5 linked regions of the Oryctolagus cuniculus genome follow. The protein of the gene in region 5 purifies or fractionates together with the protein of the main gene of each other region. This does not show direct contact. Links are inferred from orthologs where the notes say so. Each region holds a gene or a part of one and is shown on either strand. Other genes may lie near its edges.

The links.
Region 1: the proteins of UPF1 (region 5) and UPF3B purify together in Homo sapiens (co-immunoprecipitation; 16 studies listed by BioGRID and IntAct, with this or other methods). This does not show direct contact. The link is inferred for Oryctolagus cuniculus from reciprocal best matches to the Homo sapiens genes UPF1 and UPF3B.
Region 2: the proteins of UPF1 (region 5) and UPF3A purify together in Homo sapiens (affinity purification with western blotting; 5 studies listed by BioGRID and IntAct, with this or other methods). This does not show direct contact. The link is inferred for Oryctolagus cuniculus from reciprocal best matches to the Homo sapiens genes UPF1 and UPF3A.
Region 3: the proteins of UPF1 (region 5) and DCP1A purify together in Homo sapiens (co-immunoprecipitation; 4 studies listed by BioGRID and IntAct, with this or other methods). This does not show direct contact. The link is inferred for Oryctolagus cuniculus from reciprocal best matches to the Homo sapiens genes UPF1 and DCP1A.
Region 4: the proteins of UPF1 (region 5) and STAU1 purify together in Homo sapiens (affinity purification with mass spectrometry; 7 studies listed by BioGRID and IntAct, with this or other methods). This does not show direct contact. The link is inferred for Oryctolagus cuniculus from reciprocal best matches to the Homo sapiens genes UPF1 and STAU1.

The regions. Positions count from the first base shown.
Region 1 is NC_091453.1:73,257,285-73,261,333, forward strand, and holds the end of UPF3B (regulator of nonsense transcripts 3B), read left to right. Parts: intron 1-2,500; coding exon 2,501-2,650; 3' UTR 2,651-3,518; downstream 3,519-4,049. UniProt on the Homo sapiens protein: Involved in nonsense-mediated decay (NMD) of mRNAs containing premature stop codons by associating with the nuclear exon junction complex (EJC) and serving as link between the EJC core and NMD machinery.
Region 2 is NC_091440.1:57,864-62,651, forward strand, and holds the start of UPF3A (regulator of nonsense transcripts 3A), read right to left. Parts: upstream 3,233-4,788; 5' UTR 2,928-3,232; coding exon 2,820-2,927; intron 2,727-2,819; coding exon 2,620-2,726; intron 1,493-2,619; coding exon 1,386-1,492; intron 1-1,385. UniProt on the Homo sapiens protein: Involved in nonsense-mediated decay (NMD) of mRNAs containing premature stop codons by associating with the nuclear exon junction complex (EJC) and serving as link between the EJC core and NMD machinery.
Region 3 is NC_091441.1:96,540,735-96,544,783, reverse strand, and holds part of DCP1A (mRNA-decapping enzyme 1A), read right to left. Parts: intron 3,832-4,049; coding exon 3,073-3,831; intron 106-3,072; coding exon 40-105; intron 1-39. UniProt on the Homo sapiens protein: Necessary for the degradation of mRNAs, both in normal mRNA turnover and in nonsense-mediated mRNA decay. Removes the 7-methyl guanine cap structure from mRNA molecules, yielding a 5'-phosphorylated mRNA fragment and 7m-GDP.
Region 4 is NC_091442.1:11,270,436-11,275,130, forward strand, and holds the start of STAU1 (double-stranded RNA-binding protein Staufen homolog 1), read left to right. Parts: upstream 1-1,638; 5' UTR 1,639-1,899; intron 1,900-4,695. UniProt on the Homo sapiens protein: Binds double-stranded RNA (regardless of the sequence) and tubulin.
Region 5 is NC_091447.1:65,846,535-65,851,327, reverse strand, and holds the start of UPF1 (regulator of nonsense transcripts 1), read right to left. Parts: upstream 3,091-4,793; 5' UTR 2,839-3,090; coding exon 2,614-2,838; intron 1-2,613. UniProt on the Homo sapiens protein: RNA-dependent helicase required for nonsense-mediated decay (NMD) of aberrant mRNAs containing premature stop codons and modulates the expression level of normal mRNAs.

The sequences.
Region 1 (4,049 bases), on a different chromosome or scaffold from region 5:
CCAGGAGCCAGGAGCTTCTTCTGGATCTCCCATACGGGTGCAGGAGCCCAAGAACCTGGGCATTTTCCACTGCTTTCCCAGGCCATAGCAGGGAGCTGGATGGGAAGTGGAGCAGCTGGGACTCAAACCAGGGCCCATATGGGATGCCGGAGATTCAGGCAGCGGCTTTACCCAGTACGCCACAGCACCAGCCCCGGAACGGGAAAGTTTAACTATCTGTAACTCATACTCAGTCTTGGAAGAGTTTTATTATTATTATTATTAACTTATGGAAATAACAGAGATACGTAAAAGTGGAGGGAATAAAAAATAGTATGATGAGGTCCCAAGTCCTCATCACCCAGCTTCAACAATTATCAACTCTGCCTCATTCCTTACCCTACTGGATTATTTTCAAGCAAATCCTAGACATATAGTTTCTTTAAATATTTAACTATTACAGATAGAGTCTTTTTAAGGATAATATAACCTTAGGAGCACTTTCACATTAAAATAACAAAAAAAATCTGGGGGCAGTCATTGTGGTGCAACAGGTTAAGCCTCTGCTACAATCTGCATCCCATCTCAGAGCACCTGTTTGTGTCCCAGCTACTCTGCACTTCCTATCCAGCTTCCTGCTAACATGCCTGGGAGGCAGCAGATGAAGTCTCAACTGCTTGGGCCTTTGCTACCCATGTTCGAGAACCAAATGGAGCTCCTTGCTTTGGCCTGGCCCAGCCCCAGCTGTTGCAGGCATTTGGGGAGTGACCCAGCAGACAGAAGATCTCGATCTCTGTGTGTGTGTGTGTGTGTGTGTGTGTGTGTGTCACTCCCTCTCTGTCACTCTTTCAAGTTAAAAAAAAAAAAATTAAGCCTAACAAATAGGGCCAGTGTTGTGGCGTAGCAGGTAAAGCCACCACCTGCAGTGCCAGCATCCCATATGGGTGCTGGTTCAAATCCCAGCTGCTCCACTTCCAATCCAGCTCCCTGCTAATGTACCTGGGAAAGCAATGGAACATAGCCCAAGTGCTTGGGCCCCTGCACCAATGTAAGAGACTCAGAAGAAACTCCTGGCTCCTGGCTTCAGTCCGGCCCAGCCCTGGTTGTTGCAGCTATTTGGGGAGTGAACTAGCAGATGGACGGTCTCTGTCCCTCCCTCTCTGTCTCTACAACTCTGCTTTTCAGATAAATAAAATAAATCTTTTTTTAAAAAGCCTAACAATTTTTAACACCCTGTCCACTTAGTGTTCAGATTTTTCCAATTATTTTATCAATATCTTTTTTAATAGGATCTACACTGGGCCCCCAAACTGTATTTGCCTGAAATGTCTCCTTTAAAAAAAGATTTATTTATTTAATTTGAAAGGCAGAGTTACAGAAAGAGAAGGAGAGAGAGGGAGAGAGAGGGAGAGAGAGATTGATTGATCTTCCATCCATTGGTTTACTCCCCAAACGACCACAACTGCTGGAGCTTGGCTGATCCGAATCTGGGAGCCAGGAGCTTCTTCCAGTTCTCCCACATAGGCACCAGAGGCCCAAGTACTTGGGCCATCTTCTGCTGCTTTCCCAGACATATATGCAGGGAGCTGGACTGGAAGTAGAGCAGCTGGGACTCTAGCTCTGATATGGGATGCTGGCACTCTAGGCAGTGGCTGTAGCTGCTGTGCCACAATGGCAGCCCTGCCCTCTCTTTCAAGATTTTATTTGAAAGGCAGTGACAGAGAAAAAGAAAGATCTTCCACCCACTGATTGACTCGCTCAGACGCCCACAAGCCGGGAGCCAGGAACGCCATGCAGGTCTCCCAGATGTGTGGCAAGAATCCGAGTACCTAACTTTCCTAAATCAGGGAGGAAGGGAGAGGAAGGCACATGGAATTTTTGGTTGAATTCTTAAAAAGGACTGTAAGTTTTCCAGTATTATACTGTGGAACCAAACATATTACTTGAACTGAGAGAATACATGAGGACTTTCTTGAGGCTTATTTGGGAATCTCAGATCTAAAGTGCCACCTGCTGAGGTGTTATACCTGAATCAGAAACAGATGTCTGGGCAAGCTACATAGCATCTGAGCTCCTAATTCCAGGGATGCATCCACTTAAGAGGTTTCACCTTTACTACTGTTATTCCTAAACATTTTCTCTTTTTTTTTCCTAAATATTTTCTGGTGTGGTGGTGCATTTTATAGTCAGTTTACTTATGGGAAGAAGAGATAGGCAATAGCTAAGGTTTCTAAGTTTTTAAAAAAATAAGCTAATTAGTTCATGTTGAGATGGTTAAGAAAATCAGGTAGTACAGGTCTCAAAAATTTACCCTAGGCATATGAAATACCACTTATGAAATGGTTGCTTTACTCTGGAGACAAGAGAAAGGAAATGGACAGCTGTTATGCACCATGCCCTCATTTTGGGTTTTCAGTGCCCTGTTTTGGGTATATATTAATACATGCCTTATGGCTCTGCAAATCCCACGTAAAAGTTTAGTAGCAATGTTGTAATATTAACATATTTCATTTTACTTCAGGATCGCCCAGCAATGCAGCTTTACCAACCAGGAGCTCGAAGCCGAAATCGACTCTGTCCCCCTGACGACAGCACCAAGTCTGGAGATTCAGCAATAGACAAAAAGCAGGAAAGTGGTATTAGCCATAGAAAAGAAGGGGGAGAGGAGTGATAAGTCCAAATGGTCCTAGATATCCTGACTGTCCAGGCCGCCAAAGAGCACGTATTGAGCAATCCAGAAGCGCCCTCAGGGCAAAGGAATAGAGAGAAAGAAAGGATGTCGCTGTGCTGGTGAGGTGCACTGCAGAGGAGTATGTTTAGCGGTAAAGCAGGAATCTGATTGCAGGCTCAGAATTGGAAAGTACAATTTCATTGTTTTTGTGTTTTCTACAAATTAACTTTAAAGTGCCAGAAAAAGACGATGGTGAGGACATGTGTTGCAATTTGCAGGCGGGAAATGTCAAGTGAGGACTTAACTATGTGTGACACAAGCAAAAAAAAAAAAAAAAAAAAAAAAAAAAAAAGGAGAGCTGGCTCTAAAAAGATGTTGTTAATCCTGGCTTGAATTTTCTTAGTTTGAGTGGAGCAGAGTCACTTTGAACTCTTGTTCAGATCGTTATCTTGCATTGTTGTTGATAACTGTTGACTTTGTATAGTGTAGAAGCAACAAGCATGTAATTGTAATACAAGTACAGTGAAGGATTTAACAAATTTTCACTGCAAAAATCGAACTAGTCATCTTATAGCTATACCCTATGTCCTAAAAGTTAAGGATTAGTTTTGTTTGCTTATGTGAGCTTGGCATGAGGAATATTTTTAAACATCTCATTCTGCCTTTAGCAGTTTTTCTACTAGTAGGTAAAATGTAGTCCTTGTTTGGTTCTTGACAATCCAGTCTTTGTTTTACCTTAGGTCTCATAATCTGAGAGCATACCCTCTCCAGGAAGGAAACTGCACACAAATATCTGTTCCTGTTAAGTAACAGCTTCAAGTCTTAACTTGTTTTGTGCTGATGTCAATAAATATCAACAGCACTCAAATGTGACACTGTGTGTTTATTAACTTAACTAAATAGCTATTAGTTTTAAGAAAATAAGCTTTTGACTTGAGAATTTTAAAAGGGGATGAATGCTCATAGTTTCTGCCTTCACTAGCATTCTGTCTTTGTTTTGTTCACTAGGGAGTGGATTAAATCCTGGTTCACTGGTGTTGTTCCATAAGAAGCAAGATGTCTGACAACATCCTTAAGCTGCTGCTTGATTTCCACCCTGCCAGGCCCTCCTAACAGGGCTCATTTTGCCTTTATTTGGTAACACTGCTTTATGTTCCCTCAGCTTTTTTTTTAATACTGCTTTCTAGAAGACATGATTAGGTTTTCTTTAGATTTATTTATTTATTTGAAAGAATTACAGAGGCAGAGCGAGAACAAAAGAGAGAGAGTCTTCCATCCACTGGTTCACTCCCCAGATGACCACAACAGCCAGAGCTGCACCAATCCAAAGCCAGGAGCCAGGAGCTTCTTCTGGGTCTCCCACGTGGGTGCAGGGGCCCGAGGACATGGCCCATCTCCC
Region 2 (4,788 bases), on a different chromosome or scaffold from region 5:
CTATGCACAACAGCTAAGACATCGTATACTCATGCTGTGGAACACTGCTCAGCCTGAAAAGGGAATGAAACTCTGCAATATGCTGCAACATGGGCAAACCTGAGGGCATTAAGCTAAGTAAAATAAGGCAGTCACGAAACGACAACACATGATTCCACCAACTCGAGGTACCCAGAGGAGTCAGATTCACAGAGCATACAGCAGAATGGCGGCTGCCAGGGGTGGGGCGCATGTGTAGTTTCAGTGCTACGAGATGGAAGGAGTCCTGGAGACGGCTGCTCGAGGAGATCACACTCAACACTAGGGAACTGCACTCTTACAAAAACGGTAAGATAACAGACTTTGTTATATCTATCTGCCAATGCTTAAATAAGATATTTATTTGAAAGGCAGAGTGACAGAAAAAGGGAGGGGAGAAAGGGAGAGAGGGGCAGAGGGAGATATGCTGCATCTGCTAGTTCACTCCCCAAATGCCCACAACAGCCAGGGCTGAGCTAGGCCAAGCTAAGAGTCTGGAATCTTTCCTGGTCTCCATGTGGGTGACAGGGGCCCAAGTACCCGGTCATCACCTGCTGCCTTCCCCGGTGGATAGCAGGGAGTTGGAGCAGAAACAGAGCAGCCTGAATTTGAACCGGTGTTCCATACAGCATGCCAGCATCACAAGCAGCAGCTTACCCCACTGCACCTCAATTCCTACCCCACTTCAATATTTTTTGAAAAGTAAATAAAAGACAGTTGAACAAATAAACAAGCCAACACAAATGTCAAACAGATTTTGACCTGGCCCCCAGCTCAGCCACTCTGACAATCTTGTTTATCCATCACCCTCAGTGGAGAAGGACACACTGATTCACACGGAGGGTGGGAGGAGAGGGAGAGGGTGCCTGATGAGTGAGACAAATTGCTCTAAGACGGATTCAGACTTGACAGCAAAGAAGCCACACCTGGCAGTCCAACAGGGAAGGAGGAGTGGACATCAAAGGCATAACCAGAAGGTACAGGGGATTGAACCCACACAGAGCAGGACAAATCTTGTCATCCACGCAGGCCTGACTGGAGCTCAGGGTCACAACCCCTCCCCGCGACATTACCGAGAAGGGGTGAAGGATGAACAGTGCTGTTAGGAAGACACACACTCAGATTCAGAAAATCTATATGAAAGAAGGATAAAATATAGAAAAACTTCACTCTAACAATAATACACAAGTTGTCGCCATTACATAGACTAAATTATGATTTACAACTTTAAGAGTAGCACCCAATCACAATATACTCACAATATCTTATTTTAGATTAGTCTCTGAGAACTAACTAAAACTCACAAAAATTACACCCAAGCCCATTGTTGTACTTCGAGACTGTAAGAGTTGAAAACAGTGATAAACCTTTGCTGTCAATGAAGATAAATCCATCAAAACGATCTCGGAAAAGAAGGATGTCATCAGGATTCCTAAAATTGATGTATGCTCTCGAGTAGAGGTGAGGACACAGACTGAAACAAGATACAACAGGAAAACCGCTTACCGCTTAGTACAAACACAGGGTCCCCTTTCCTTCATTTGCTTATGCCAAAAAACCATCTCCCGGTTAATTACAGCAATTTGGATATTCTTTAGCAACAAACAAACCAAAAACCACTAACTGAGATCCTTGTAATCAGCCAGAAAGAGATGTCTTAGGCCAGCTTCTCTGCAATGTCAGAGTTAGAATCCTGGTCCTCAGAGGTTGAAAAAACAAAGGCAAGTGTTCTGAACACAGACGACCAGGATGCTGTGTAACTCATGGCTCATTCAAGAAAATGTATACTGTAAGAGGGACTCCGCGTTAATCCGGATAATATTTAGATTTGCTTTTTTTTAAAAGTACTTATGGGGGCCAGTGTTGAGGCATAGTAAATTAAGCCGCTGCCTGCAATGCCAGCTCCCTGCTAACAGCCTCGGGAAGCAGTCAAAGACAGCCCAAGTGCCTGGAACCCTGCTCCAGGTGGGAGACCCAGAAAAAGCTCCTGGCTTCGGCCTGGCCCAGCCCCAGCCGCTGCAGCGATCTGGGGAGTGAACCAGAGGGATGGAAGGGCTAACTGCCTTTCACATAAAATAAATAAAATTCTTAAGAATAAAGTATTTATGGTGGCCCATGGATGGGGTCCACACAGAGAACTAAGCGTCCTCCCCTATGCCACGGTCACCAACATTCTGCGCAGGCGGCGACTTCCAGCCCCTCCCACAGAGCTCTGCAGCTCCGGGGAATCAGGGCCCTCAGGAGCGGTCAGCTCAAGACCGGCCTGGGACCCCAGGCCAAGATCCTGCGCCCAACGCCGGTCCTCGCATATCCGCCAGTCGTTCTGGACGTCATTCACCTGCTAACGATGCTTTCCTTGAACTGGCATTCCTATCAATACACGGTAATGACAGGGGCTGCAGCACAGGGCACCCTGCCTGTCTCCTGCTGGGTCCGAACCAGCTCACGCACGTCTGCCACTCACTCGGCAGAGTCTCAACGCGATTCGCTTTTACAGGCCGCACAGACGAAGCACCGGAGGCGCACACGGCCAGCAGCCCCGCGGCAGGGACGGGCGCGCCGGCAGCAGGTGCGGAGGCCCCGGCCACCTCCCGCCCTCACCTGAGGTCCGCCGAGAAAAGCTCGAAGTAGTCGTGCGCGGGCAGCGGGCGCAGCTGCTCCTCCAGCTGCCGCTTGGTGAGGCCGGGCGGGAGCCGCCGCACCACCACCTGCGGACCGAGCCGGCCGTCAGGGCCCGCGCCCCGCAGGCGCCCCGCAGGCGCCGGCCCTCCGCGCCGCGCCCCCGCCCCGCCCCGCCCCACCTTGCTGAGCGCGGCCCTCTTCTCCTCGCGAGCTCTGCCCGCGCCGCTCCCGCAGCCGGAGGACGAGGCTGGCGGCGTCCCGAGCTCTCGTCGGAACGGGATCTCCATGGCTCTCGTCCGGACGCCTCCTTCGCACTCCGGCCCCGCACAGCAACGGCCGCCCTCCGGCCTCGGCCCCGCGGAGCGCAGGTCGTACCCGCCGCGGGGCCGCCGCCGCCGCGCGCCCGCCGCCGAAACCTCGCGAGAACTCGGCGCCGCGGTCACCTGGGCGCGCGCCTGCGGCTCACAGGCTGTTCCGGTCAGCTGCCGGGGAGGGGCAATCGGAGGCTCGGGCAGAGCCCCGGTGGGGCGCTGTGCGCGCGCGCAGTCCCTGAGGAGTGCCTGGTGCGACCCTACAGAACACCTACCGCAAGACTACCACGACACTGCCGTACTTAGTACAAAACGCTGTGGTGTTTAATACAGAAAACAGTGCGACACTTACTGCAGAATACAGTACTAGGTAACTACGATACTAGAATGCGTAGTATAGAATACTACGCTACTACAAGAAATATACTTAATGTGGTACTTAATACAGAATACTACAATACTTAGCAGAGAATACCACAATTCTTGGAAAATACTGTGGTAGCACACACTGCCATGTTCAGTACAGGGCACTTTGATACGCTGCTCGGGGCAGAATACTTACTATAATACTTGGAACAATGAGTGTAAAATAGAATACTTGCAATGTTACAAAACTACAACTTAGTACTCAGGACTACAATACTACATAAAGTGGTTGTACGGAATACTCAGTATAGTACTACAATGCTATACTTAGTACAATACTTGGTATGACAGTACAGAACATAACACAATACTATGATACCACCGTTCCGTTCTCGCAGACACAGTTGAGGAAGCTGGTGTTTGTCAAGCAGCACCACAGTGCACCTTCGTTCTGCTGTGCGATTTACCTGTGGGGGGAACGCACTTGCTGCAGTGCCCTCACCTGTGGGCCAGGCAGTCAGTAGAGCAGCCAACAGCCAGGCCCCATGCACCGGTATTGAGTCAGTTCACCAGCAAAATTCATAATCCACTCATGCTCTTGATTACTGGGACAACACCAAAACCAGACTCACACTAGTGTATTTTTGCTTTATAAATTACAGGCAGCACTTGATTAATTCATATGTAAATTATGTATTTGTACTCTGCAAGGAATTTTATTAATCTTTATTTCAAACTTTATTCCCAGGCTTCTTCAGCTTAATTAGCAGCAAAGAATGAACTCCATAAGCAAAAACTGAAAGAGCTGCCCTGAGCTTACAAATGTGAGAAATCTAGATTTTATCTGATCATAAACAGAACAATTTTTATAAGCAGTCATAATATAAAACAGCAGCTCCCAGGAACTTTTCTTCAAAAGTTCACTGCAGGGGCTGGTGCTGCGGTGCAGCAGGTTAAGCTGCATCTATAGTGCCTGCAATCCGATGAGGGCACAGGTTGGAGTCCCAGCTGCTCTGCTTCAGATCCAGCTCCCAGCGGAGGATGGCCAAGTCCTTGGGCCCCTGCCACCCACGTGGGAGATGCAAAAGGAGCTCTTGGCTTTTGACTTCACCTTGGCCCAGCTCCAGCCACTGGGACCACTTGGGGAGTGAACCAGTGGATGCAAGGTCTTGGTCTCTCCTCTCTATAACTCTGCCTACCAAATAAATAAATCTTAAAAATTGACCATTCATTTTGCCTCATTCTTAGAAGGCTCATCAAAACTCTCCACGAAATGTGGAACTTCATCATCATCCTCGGGAGCACCTCTTGGTGCCTTTCCATCCACAGATGGGGGAGAGCTTCGGCCAGCTTCCTCGTCTCCGCCTGTCTGCCCACTGCTGATTTAAGATTCTGGGAGGCCGGTGCCGCGGCTCACTTGGCTGATCCTCCACCCTGAGGCACCAGCATCCCAGACTCTAGTCCCAGTCGG
Region 3 (4,049 bases), on a different chromosome or scaffold from region 5:
AACACATGAAATGCTTTCTTCAGAACAAGGGGGCCTTACCGGGATGGCACTGGATAACATCTTAGGCTGGGCAAATACTTCAGGATCCTGGTTTTGCTGCATAGACTGAAATGTTTCAAAAGAAGAGATAAATAGATATGGCAGGTTTCAGTGAAATTTCCTGATTACTGGTAAAAAAAAATCTATTTTAGCAACAAGAAATGGCTAAGCCATTAACCAGGTCTCAGATTCCCAAGGGAAGAGGCTGACAGGACTGTGACAATGACTCAACCTCCCCCTGCAGTTCCCCCGATGAAAGGTGTGCTTAAGTAGTCCCTAAGGAACAAAGCAGAAACCTGTATCTCAGAGTTGGGAGCTGTGCAGGCGTATTTTTGCTGTTGAGTCTGTAAAAATGACAGATGTTGGCAGCATGACACCTGGTAACAGGCTGTTTAAACCTGGACAGGTAGTACTGAACAGCTGCTACCCAGAGTCAGCCTTTCACATGCAGTTTTTCCTCATTCATTGGAGAGAGACAACTTGTAGAGCAAAGACATGAGAACTCTATGAAGCCCTGGTCTTTGTATTTACTGCTGTGTAAATGGAAATTTATACGCAGGGAAGCATGCCCTGCCAAGAAGGAGGCTAGGGCAGGGTGCTATCTCCAGGCTGCAGAGGGCAGTGTCCAAGAATGCTGGTGTGGGGCTGGCATTGTGGTGCAGTGGGTTAGACTGCCACTTACCACATTGGCATCCTGTATCAGAGTGCCAGTTCTCACCCTGGTCTTCACTTCCACTACAACACCCTGCATGCCTGGACCCCTGTACCCACATGGCAGACCAAGGTGGAGTTTCTGGCTCCTGGTTTTAGCTCAGCCCTGGCCCAGCTTGTTGAGGACACTTAGGGATTGAAACAGCAGATGGAAGATCTGTTTCTCCCTATCATCCTTTCAAATCAATCAATCAATTCATAAATAGAAAGGTCTTTTTTTTTTTTTTTTCCAGAATGGTTCCTCTAGCCACAGTGGCACATTTTCTTTAAACAGATTTATAATTTATTTGAAATGTGGAATTGCAGAGGTAGAGTGAGAGGGAGAGAGGGGGAGAGGGGGAGAGGAGAGAGAGAGAGAGAGAGAGAGAGAGAGAGAGAGAGAGAGAGAGAGAGAAAGAAAGAAAGAGAGAGAGAGAGAGAGAGAAAGATCTTCCATTTGCTGATTCATTACCCAGACGGTTGCAACGGCTGGAGCTGGGCTGATCCAAAGCCAGGAGACAGGAACTTCTAGGTCTCCTAAATGGGTGCAGGGGCCCAAGGATCTGGGTCAACGTCTACTGCTTTCCCAGGCCATAGCAGAGTCCTGGATTGGAAGTAGAGCTGCTGGGACTTGAACCAGCACCCATATGGGATGCTAGCACCATATGCAGTGGCTTTACCTGCTATGCCTCAGCACTGGCCCTTAGGTAAGTCTTAGGGATAAAAAGGACTGCTGTTGTGTTTCTTGAATCCTGCAGCAGTGGTAGCAGGCATGTCTGTTTAACAGAATATTCTCTCCTCTCTGTAACACAGAGAAAGGGCTGGAGGAAGACAATATAAATGCTACCAAGACCCTAAGTTTCCCCTCTATCACTACAAGATTTCAAAGGAATGGAACAAAAAAGTTAAGAAATAATACATAGCAACCATGATGGGCTTTTCCATACATTATTTGGTACAATGTTAAGATTGGGGATTATCATCATTGTTACAGATTTGATTATTTATTTGAAAGGCAGAGTTAGAGAGTGAGCAAGCGAGAGCATGAAAGAGATCTTCCTTCTGCTGGTTCACTCTCCAAATGGCCACAATGGCCAGAGCCTGAGCCAGTCTGAAGCCAGGAGCCAGGAGTGTCTTCTGGGTCTCCCACGTAGGTGAAGGGCCCCAAGCACTTGGGCCATCCCTTGCTGCTTTCCCAGGCACATTCGTAGGGGAAGGATCAGAGGTACAACAGCTGAGACTCAAACTGATGCTCAAATGAGATGCCGGCACCACAGGTGGCAGCTTTACCCACCATGTCACAGCACCGGTTCCTATCACTATTATTAAAGGGCATTATTAAAGGTCCTATAGGGACTCAGTACTGATGCAGAGTAGCAGGTTTTATACTATTCCAGTTCCGTGACCTTGCACAAATCACCCAATCTGGTTTTCTCGTTTGCATATCCCACACTTATGAATTACTGTGAGGGATAAATCTGTTTTTCCTCTACACCTGATCTACCACTGAGTCCCACTGATGAGACATCTCAACATATCCACATGCACACACTTCTTGATCCAGGCCCTGCCAGCTCTAACCCGAGTGCCGCCCTCTTCCTTCATGGCACCTCACTCTGCTCAGAGACTTCCCAGGCTCTGAAAACAAAGTACTGAGGGAGCTGGGAATGGGAACTAAGTTCAGGATAATCTGGGGATCTTCCTGACCCTGAACCAAGACAGACAGGGGCTGGCACTGTGGTGCAGTGGGTTAAGTTGCCACTTGGGACTCCAGCATTCCATATTGAAGGGCTGCTTTGAATTCTGGCTGCTCCACTTCTGATCCAGCACCCTGCTAATACACCTGGGAAGGCAGCAGAAGATAGCCCAAGTGCTTGGGCCCCTGCCCTCTGTGTGGGAGACCAGAATGGAGTTCCAGTCTCCCAGCTTTGACCTGATCCAGACCTGGCTGTTGAGGCTATCTGGCATCTAGGTAGTGAACTAGTGGATGGACGATCTCTCTCTGTTGCTCTACTTTCAAATAAATAATCTAAAAAACAAAAAGCAAGACAGATGAAAAAAAAATCCTATAGTGCATACTTAGGCAATATAAACGTGGTTTTTTTATCTGTTATCAGTGGGATAATTCTGGAAAGTGAAACTGAGTTACACCATTGTCTAGTAATTACTTGGTTGGTCACGGGGTGGGGGGGATTCTCCTTCCCCTTTCTCCTGGTCCTTGGTTTCCTTTAGAGATAATTCTTTCAAACTATCCTGTCTCACATCAGTAAAAATCAAGGTCTTTGCAGTTAGTCTCATCCAATCAGTTACCCACCCTGCCCACCCCGCCTCTGTTGCCACTACCTGAAGGGGAGCAAGCACCATGTTGCTCAAGGAGGCTGAGGCTGCTGCTCTCGCTGCCGCGGTCTTAGAGGGAGGCTCGATGAAGCTCTCAGGTGTGGCCAGCTGGCCAGCTGCTGGGCACAGGGTGGGTGCCACTGCTCCTTTCCCAAGTGTCTGCGTCTGTATTTGGTCATGCTGTGGAGTCAACCTGAGTTTATGCAGAAGATCAACGCTTGGGAGGGATGCTCCAGCTGGGTTTGTCACGCTCAGTGGGGCTCTGAAGGGACTCTGGCTGGCAATCAGACTGCTGTGGCTTAGCTCAGAGACAGGCTGGTTCAGCAGTGGAGACCTCTGTCTAGGCGTGGTCTTCACTGCTTGCATCATAGTGCTGTTTCGAGACAGGCTGGGGGGAACCTGCGCAGCAGGGGCGTCACCTGGCAGAGTGGGGCTGAGAACGGGGCTCAATGGGATTGTGTAGCTTGGGGCATGCTTTTCACTGGAGTGTGTGATGGAGGCTGGGGTGATTAGCACCGGGGTGGGGACTTCTGGCTGGACTGAGTGGTGGGCAGCAGAATGGACACCCGGGTTTTCTGATGGAAGGCCTCCTCCTGCTTGCTCAAAGGGGAATGGAAGGAAGGAGCTGGGTTCTTTCTGGGAGGCCTCTCCCGGCAGCTTCTCCACTTCTTCTGAATCCAGACCCATGACTGCGGGCTGTTCCTTTGGCAAAGAGGTTCCGAATAGCTCTTCTACCGTCAGATGTTTGTGTCCAGACGGAGCAGACTGAAAAACAAATCACACCACTTAGTTAAAAGAAACCTCTGGCAAATCACTGTAACCAAACTTGTTACCTAACAACTAAAACAGTAGTAAGGAATGGGACAAACTGAAGACAGGCTACAGGTACTTTTGGTCTTCTCTAGGTTAGTGGAAGGAAATCCACATGCGTAATTACCCTCAAATTCTAGGAACTTCAGATAATATAAGAAGACTTCATGGAA
Region 4 (4,695 bases), on a different chromosome or scaffold from region 5:
CGCCCATATGGTATGCAGGTGTTGCAGGTGGTGACTTTACCAGCTCCGCTCTAACACCCGCCCTTTCTGGTTTCTTAAGGTGGAAACATAATTGATTTGAGACTTTCTGCTCTTCTAAATTAAACGTTAATTGCTACAACTTTCCCTCTAAGTATTGTGTTAGCTGCATCCCCCAAAATTTAAAAATGTTTTTGTTTTCATTTTATCGAGGAAGAGAGAGAGAGAAAGAGAGAGAGAGAGAGAGAGAGAGGGAGAGGGAGAGAGAGATTCTTCTTTTGCTGGTTTACTCCACAAATGCCCACAACAGCCAGGCTGAAGCCGGGAACCAGGAAGTCCACCTGGGTTTCCCAGCTGGGTGGTAAAGACGCAGGTGCTGGAGCTATGACCCGCGGTGCGTTAGCTGGGAGGTAGAGCAGGAGCAGAGCTGACTCGAACCCAGGCCCCCTGATGTGGGCTGTGGGAGCCCAAGTGTGGCTGGACTGTTGCTCTCCGATGCTGCCTGGCCACCTCATTTTTGGAGAGAGGTCACAAAGCCAGGTTACTATGTGTTGAAATTGTTCAGCCGTTAAAAACTAACAAAACCAAAGACAGAGAGGAAGAAGAGGAAAACAGCGCGAACAGTCACTCCACAGCGCTCATTTGAGGACCACTGTGTTAACCAAGGCACAGGTTCGTCGTGGGGCTGCTGGGTGTGGGAGGGGAGCCTTAGACGTGTTTTTCTTTTTGTACTTAGGGACTGGCAGTCACATCTTTTTTCCCAAAGGCCTCAAGTCTTCTGGGCTGTTGCCAAGTAATTAAGGAATTATTTTTCTTTGTTTCAGGATGAAGATGGAAATAAGAAACTGAGCACTGGAGATGTTACTCCAAATTCTGCCTGCTCCTTCCCGCAAGATAAGTTATATAGGAATGGGCAGAGCGCATAAAGTCCCCGTGAAAAGTTGGCTCTCATCTAAAATTACACTGCTGTTTCTGTTAGAGTGGGCACTTGCTGTCAGTGTACGGAAACAGAAGAAAGTCGGCCTGGAAGTGATAGGCGGAGCCCTGGGGTCCTAACGCGCACAGCCACATCATCTTTTCGTTTGTTTTTTTAAGCTTTATTTATTTGAAGGAGAGAGTCTGCCATCGCAGGTGCCTGACCGCTCCCCTCGGCGCCGGCCCCTATCTTGCCTTTCAGTGCACCTAGCAAGTTAATGATTTTATTCGCGCCTTTTATCCGCACTGGAACGTAAGCTCCATGAGGGCACGGGCGTTTGTCCGTTCCGTTCTTAGCTCTCGGGGCAGCGCCTCGCACATGGCGGAGGAAGGAGGCCCTGAGGGCGGGAGCGAAGGGAACGACACCTGCGAGACGAGAGGACGGACTGAGAGAAGGAAGAAGGAAGTGCGGGAGGCCAGAAGGCACGCGCTCCGCCTTCCCGCTCGGGGCCCGGCAGAACTACAACTCCCAGCAGGCCGCTGGCCCAGGGCGGGCGGCGGCCACCTCGCCGCGACCAGGCCCCGCCTGCCGGCTCCCGGTGTGCCTTGCGGGCGCCGGCCCCGCCGCAGCGCCCGCCGGGACTTGTGGTTTGGGCCGCGGGTGGGGGTGGGGCCGGGCCTGGAGGCGGGCGGGGGCCGGGGGCGGGCGCCGGCCCCTCCCCCGTCACTTCCTGCCGGGCTGCGGGCGCCGGAGCGGCTCCTCAGCGTTTGCGCCGGCCGCCGTCGCTTCTTCTCTCGGCTTCCCCGCTTCTTGGACCCCCCGGCCCGGCGGCGGCGCCCGCCTCCTCCGCAGCCACTCCGCCTCTTCCCACCCGCCGTCCCTTCCTCCTCTCCCTCTTCCTTCCTCCTTCCCCTCGTCGCCGCCACCACTGCCGCCGCCGCCGCCCAGGACCGCCGGCCGAGGGGCGAGCTGAGGGCAGCAGCCAGGTGAGGCGGCCGGCCGAGCGCGGCGGGGCCCGCGCGGGCGCGGCGGCCACGGGGCGGGGGGCGGCGGGCGGCGGGCGGCGGGTGGGGCCTAGGCCTCGGCGGGCCGCGCGCCGGCCTCCTCCCCCCGGCCCGGGCCTGCGTCCCGCCCGCGGGGCCTGCCCGGGGTGGGGGAGAGGCGGGTCCTCCGGCGCCCCCAGCCCCGCCGCCGCTTTCTCGCCGGGGCCGGGAACAGGTGCCTGGCGCCCTGCGCTGGGCGGGCGCGCGGGGACAGCGAAGTTCCTGCCGGGCTGGTGGTGTCCCCTCTCCAGCCCTCGGGGTCCGGAGCGTCCGCGTCGTGCGGCGGGCACGGCCCAGGTGTCCGGCCCCGGCGCGGCCCCTTCAACTCTTTGTGTGGGCTGGGGAGAGGGGCGCCGAGACCGTCCTGCCGCTTTCTGGCTGCGGAGGTTCGGGGAAATGGGGCGTGTGAAGCGCTTATCGGAGCGCCAGACCCACAGCGTGTCCCCAATAAACCGCCTGCATGATTGATTGGCGTGATAGGAAGGTGTAATTTAGTGGGGCGAGTGGACAGAAGTTGACCTACCTAGCTGCCTCGCTGCCCGTGCGCGAGTGGGGGAGGCAGCGGTGTTCGGCGTGGCCCCCGCCGGCGCCGGGGGCATTGTTTTGGGCTCAGGGCTGGAAGGGGGCGAGCCCGGGCCGGACCCCCTGCGCGCCAGCCGCGGGTCCGCCTTCCCCGTGGTCGTCCCGCCTCTAGGAAAGTTGCTGGCAGCCGCTGCCCCTGCGCCGGGCGACGTGCTTGTCCTCGGGCCGGGGCCGGGGCCGGGGGCGGTGGACGGACGGCGCTGGGCGAGCGTGCCTGTCCTCGGGCCGGGGCCGGGGGCGGTGGACGGACGGCGCTGGGCGAGCGTGCCTGTCCTCGGGCCGGGGTCGGGGCCGGGGGCGGTGGACGGACGGCGCTGGGCGAGCGTGCCTGTCCTCGGGCCGGGGCCGGGGGCGGTGGACGGACGGCGCTGGGCGAGCGTGCCTGTCCTCGGGGCCGGGGCCGCGGGCGGTGGACAGACGGCGCTGGGCGAGCGTGCCTGTCCTCGGGGCCGAGGGCGGTGGACGGACGGCGCTGGGCGAGCGTGCCTGTCCTCGGGGTCGGGGCCGTGCCCCTGCCTTGCCGCGTCGGCGTGGGTGCAGGCTCTCGGCTGTTCGCGCGCAGATGCGCGTCCCAGCCGCCTGCCCCTGTTCTCTGGCCGTGCGGAGGGCTTTGGGGTCGCGCTGCCGTGCTGCGCGTGTTTTTGTTTAGAAGCGGGCGGACGGAGTCGAAGTACGGTTTTGCAGGAAGGGACCTCTGCTTACGTTGCTACTTGTTGAAGCAGAAACTAAAAATACAGCCGGGGTGTGGAGGCAGCGGTTTGGCCGTCTGGGGACGGGCGCACCGAGTTCTGCTAATGCTGGGCTGCGTGGTGCGGCTGTGCCGGTCCTTGGGGAGCTGCGGCCGCCGAGGTGCTCAGCTTCGAGTTAGGACAGAGAAAACGGAGTGTGCGCGCCGCAGACGTCCGCCTAGACCTCGGCTTGTCTTAGTCCGTTTCCTTAGAGAAATGAAAATGTTTTGATTTACATCTCTCAATGCAAAGTGGCTTCCTTGTTAGGTTTTTCTAGAATTTTCTGACACAGTGTCACATTGCTTCTGATTTAAAATTTGACGTTTTAAAAACAGCTAAACAGACAACTCTGCAAACAGTAAAAAGCATGTTTTCTGCTACCTTGTGGTAAGTTGTGCTAGGGAAGTTTTAATATTGCAGTGGGTAACATAAAGCTGTTTTTAAACTTTTCACTGTGGAAAATACATGAAAATTGACTAGACGACTTAGGTATTGTGTTTGTCGCTCAACTTCGGCAGTTTTTTTTAAAAAAATAGCTTCCATCCGCTGGTTCACTCCGCAGGTGCCGCACGCACAGCTGGGCCTGGGCCAGGCTGCCACGTGGGTGTCGGGGACTGCGTGCTCCATCATGTGCTGCCTCCTTGGCCCTCGGCCGAGGGGCAGGCAACCCCGGCTCCAGTGTGAGAGCCCCAGCTCTGACAATGATTAACTTACAGTTAAGAGCAGTCTTGTACCTCCTCCCCCAAACTGTATTGTTTTGAAGCAAATCTTAAACATCGTATCACAGTGTTAGAGATTTTGACTTTTACCAGAATGCTCCTAAAATGTGCTTTTAAAAGAATCAGTTGTCATTTTGTTTGCTTGGCTTCTCATCTCTGAACAGATTACTTGGTTACTGTGCAGTGGGGAAAAGACTAGCAGCTGAGCTAGTTTTGATCAGTGCTGTCCCGCTCTCAAAGTCAAATCCCAAATGTGGCCTTGCTTCTCTGTGTGCAAAAGTAACTCTTGAGCCATGAAAGACTAATTGAAGAGCCATCAGAAAGACAGATTTCCTATCCCTTTGTTGGTGGAGACCTACCTGCTAGGCCCCTTTAAATAGGCAGGAGCTTTGTGTCAAAGTTAAACCACAGTAATGCACCATGAAGCTTCCCAAAGTTTCTTTAGCTGGTTGTGTAAATAAATGCCGTCTCAGTAAGTATTAAGCGAAGGATGTTTGATTTCAGAATCTTTGTAGAATTGTTTTCCAGAGTCCCCATCTGCTCTATTTACAAACAGCACATTGTTAGTAATTATGAGTGGAATCTTAAGTTTTGTGACTAGTGTGAAATCAAAATAAGTGTTCATATTTTTCTTGTTTAAAAGGAGATCTCTCCTAGAAGTATTATAAATATTTGCTATTGTTACGTAATTTTCAAATTTCTGTCCTGAA
Region 5 (4,793 bases):
CCAACAGAAGCGCCCATCACGCCCGCGGACACCCGGCAGGGCCGGGGACTCCACAGACACAAACACCAGCTCGCGTGTTCCCTGACCACTGGGCCTCGCGGTGAGGTCGCCCCCTGGGCAAACCTGGCACGGCCGGGCTCCTCCCCGTCCCAGCGGCCGCCGCGCTGCGGCCACGCCCTCGACACTTACGCAGGACGCCCGACGGCGCGGCCGCTGGCACGCAAGTCCAGACAGGCACGCCCAGAGCCGGGAGGACGCCCCGCGGCTGGCGCACGGTCAGGTGCCCCTCACCTGAAACTAACAGGCGCCCCAGAACCTGGGTCTCCTGGGCCCGACAGGAGCCACAGTGCAAAGCTCCGCCCCAGGAGACTGTCTGTCCCACAGTTGTTGCAGAGCCTTCAGGCTGGGCCCGCACTGGGCCTGCAGTGCCCGCATCCCCTATGGGCGCCAGTTCGAGTCCCGGCTGCTCCTGTTCCGATCCAGCTCCCTGCTGCTGCACCTGGGAGGCAGCGGAGGATGGGCCAAGTGCTGGGGCGCCTGCACCCACGTGGGAGACCCGGAAGCTCCCGGCTCCCGGCTCTAGATCAGCGCAGCTCCAGCCACTGCGGCCATCCGGGGAGCGAACCGCAGCTGGAAGACTTCTCTCTCTCAGCTTCTCCGTGTAAAGCTGCCTTTCTAATAAATAAATGAGTCTTAAAGAACAGAGAAGCCATCAGGCTGTGTGTACGGGAACACAGACGAGTCTCCCACTCGGTCTTGGGCTGCAGCCCCCGGTACTCACCCCGCGCCTACAACCACCCCCTCCAACCACCCAGGAGCCAGCGCACCCTGGTCCCAAGGTGACGCTCAACCTCAACAACCCAGAGACAGGCCGGGAGGCTGGAACCCTTCTCCAGGTCCCCGGCGCACGCGGACGGCACCGCCAACTCCCAGGGACAAGTAGGACCTTCCCGGGCGGGCACACCCGCGGGGGGCCGGGCCCGGCGCTGGCGCTGCCACTCCCGGGGGCGCTCCCTGCAGGTGACAGCGCCAGTGCTCGGCCGCTGCACCTGCGCGGAGACTAGAGGGGGCCCGGCCCTGGCTGCTGCAGCCGTCTGGGGAGTGGAGAGTGGACACGCGACCACAGCAGACAGCAGGGGCCCGCACCCCCGAGACCCAGCCTGGGGTCCCAGCTCCGGGCTTCGGCCTGGCCCGGACCTTCCTCTCGCGGGCACTGGGGAGCGAACCAGCCGTTGAAAGAGCCCTCCCTTTCCGCCTTTCAAATAAATGAAAACCAACTTATAAAAAAAAGAAAAATGCCCCCCACGTCCCAGGGCCCCAGGCCTCGGCCGCCGCCTTCTCGCTCCCCGAGGATCGACACTCCCCCGCTGCGTGGGTGTCACCCGCGCTCCCCCCACGCGGCCCGAGGGCCAGGTCCTCATCCCGAGCCAGCCGGCGCCCAGACCCTGCCCCTCCCCTGCCCACAAAGCCACCCAGAGCGGCTCCGTGACAGTCACCTCCGTCCCCAGCCGCCAGATGCACCCCCACCCCGCTCGCACGCGGGCCCAGGGCTCCCGCCCCCACCCCATCTCACGGCGGCGGGAGGGCCCACCGCCACCCGTCCCTTCCCGCAGACGCGCACCTCTCCCGGCCTCCCTCCCACCAAGGTAAACAAGACTGGGGGTGGGGGGGGGACCTGTCCTGGCGCACCTGCGCGCCCCGCCCCCTGCCGCATTCTATTTCAAGGAAGTCGGGGTTCGCATGAGTCAAACGTCTGCTGCTTCTGGCCGCGAAGAAAAGAAAGCCCAAGTGGGTGACGAGCCCACGCCGCTGACTCAGCCACGTAGCCCACAAGCCCCCCGCCCACGAGGGGGCCGGGGCTCCCCGGGGCGGGACGGTGGGGGAGGGGGCGCCAGAGCCCCAGGCTGTGCCCGGCAGCACCTGCGCGCCAGGCGAGCCTCCCAGGATTCCGGAAAACTCGCCGGGGGTCGGGGTCGGGGTCGGGGTCCGGGGGGCCGCCGTCGGAGACCCAGAGGACGGACGTGGTGGCGACTCCGCAGGACCCCCCAGCCAGCACCTGCGCCCCCCGCGCCCCAGGCTCAAGCCCAGGCCAAGCACGCGCGGGCTACGTCCCCCAACGGGAAGCGCCCGAGCGAGCGGCCCCTTCCCCGGAGAAGCCGGCTCCGCGCTCCGGGCCGGACCCAACTCAGCCCCAACTTCGCCGGGCGGGCAGGGCCGCCGGCTTACGTAACAGGTTGGTTTCGCCAACAGGCGGCAGCGCGGGCAGGAAACACCAGCGACCCGCCCCCTGAACCACCGCCGCGGCCCCTCCACTCGCGCGCCCCGAAATCCCAACTTTGCCACGCGCGGCCGGGCGCGCGCCACTGCGCGGGCGCCGAGACCCCCCGGGCGCGGGCGGGGGGCCCCGAGCCGGCCCGAGCAGTCGCCCACCCCCCCCCAACCGCAGGTCCGGGCCACCCGGAAGCGAACGGAGGGCCCCCCGGCCGCCTGGCCCCAGCAGCACCCACACCCAGCCGCCCCGCCGGGAGCCCCCGCGGGATCGCCGCGACCCCCGGCCAGGTGTGGGGGGGTCCGGGCCCGGGCTTCCGGCGCCGCCATGTGCCGCTCGCTCACCTGCGCGTCCAGCTGTCCGGCCGCAGCGCCCGCGCCCGCGCCGCCCGGGCCCCCCGCGCCGCCGGGGCCGCCGGGGCCGCCGGGGGGCGTCTGGGTCTGGCTGGGGAGGGTGAAGTCGGTGAACTCGAACTCGGAGCCCTGTGTGTCGGCGCCGAGCAGCTCGGCCTCCTCCGTGTCCAGGAAGGTGAGCGTCTGCGAGCTGGGCCCGTACGCCTCCACGCTCATGGCGCCGCCGGCTCCGCGCCTACTCGAGCTCGCTGCCGCGCCGAGGCCTAGGCCGCAGGCCTCGGGCCGCCTCGCCGCCGCCGCCGCGTGCCCGGCCCGGCCGCGCCGCCCGCCCCGCAGCGAGCCTGGCCGCCGCCCGTGAGCGCGAAGCCGCCGCCGCCGCCGCCGCCGAGCGCCCCTCGGAGCCGCCGCTGCCGCCCCTCGGAGCCGCCCGCCACTCGCAGCCCCCGGCAGGAACCGCCGCCGCCGCCGCTGCCGCCGTGCGCGTGCGCGAGCCCGACGCCGGCGCAGGTGCGCGTGCGCGAGGCCGACGCCGGCGCAGGCGCGCGCGCTCCTCGCGGTCTCCCGCCAGGCCCGCCCACAGACGCCCCGAGCCGAGCGGGCCGGCGGGACGCCTGGTGCGCACGCGCGGAGGGGCGGGGCTTCCAACGGCCGCCGCGGCGGGCGCTCCGGCCTCGGCCCCGCCCCAACCGCTGCTCGGAGTCTCCGGGCCGCGGGGCTGTGCGGGCGTGGGAGGGCCCGCGGAGCTGTGCGGGCGTGGGGGGGCGCTTGGCTTTGTGCAGCACGGTGGTTCCAGCACGGACAAGATTGCTGTATACAGCTGGTGCTCACTAAGGTTGCCAGGGAGTCTTGGGGGTGGCTGCTGCTGGATATAGTGGTTAAGATGCTGCCTTGGAGCCGGCGCTGTGGCGTGGCAGGTGAAGCCGCCGCCTGCAGTGCCGGCATCCCAGATAGTCGCGGGTTCGAGTCCCGGCTGCCCCACTTCCGATCCAGCTCTCTGCTATTGCCTGGGTTCGAGTCCCCGCTGCACTCCCGACCCCAGCCCCCTGCGCGTCCACACCCCGGAAGGCAGCAGGTGACAAGAACCTGGGCCGCTGCCACCGCCACGTGGGGGACCCGGCTGAGCCCTGGCGCCCCCGGTCTCAACACGGTGCCTGGAGAGTTTCCAAATTCACATACAGGGACCTCGGGCTGGGACGCTCAGTGTGGCCCCACGGAAAGACCCGACTGGAGGCGGAAGCCCGCGAGCCAGCAGTGAGCGCAGCCCTGGGAGCGCCCCGCTGATCCGGGAGAGTTGATCAGCCGGGCGGGCGGGTACACCTGTGACAGTGTGCAGAGCGCACCCCTGCCCTGTTTGACACACCAGAAGCTAAGGAGGAGCTGATCAAAAAAGACCTAAGGTGCACAGAAAGCAGAAACGTGGCAAGGGGCCGGCGCGGTGGCATGGCGGGTAAAGCTGCCGGCAACGCCAACTTCCATAAGGATACCGGTTCGAGCCCCAGCTGCACCGCTTCCCATCCAGCTCTCTGCAGTGGCCTGGGAAAGCAGTGGGGGGTGGGCCAGGTGCTTGGACCCCTGCACCCGCGTGGGAGACCCGGATGGGGCTCCTGGCTCCTGGCTTCAGATCGGCGCAGCTCCGGCTGTTGTGGCCAATTGGGGAGTGAACCAGTGGATGGGAGATCTCTCTCTCTCTCTCTCTCTCTTTCAAATAAATGAGTCAATTTTTGCTTTAATATTTATTTATTTGACAGAGTTACAGAAAAGGTAGAGAGAAATAGAGAGAGAACCATCCGCTGGTTCACTCCCCAATTGGCCGCAACAGCCGGCGCTGCGCTGATCCGAAGCCAGGAGCCAGGAGCTTCCTCCTGGACTCCCATGGGGGTGCAGGGGCCCAAGCACTTGGGTCATCTTCCACTGCCTTCGCAGGCCATAGCAGAGAGCTGGATTGGAAGTGGAGCAGCCGGGACTAGAACTGTAGCCCATATGGGATGCCGGCACTGCAGGTTAGGGCATTAACCCGCTGTGCCACAGCACCGGCCCCCAATAAGTCAATCCTATAAAAAGAAAAAAGGCCGGCACTGTGGCTCACTTGGTTAATCCTTGCCTGAGGCGCTGGCATCCCATATGGGTGCCGGGTTCTGTCCTGGTTGCCCCTCTTCCAGGCCAGCTCTCTG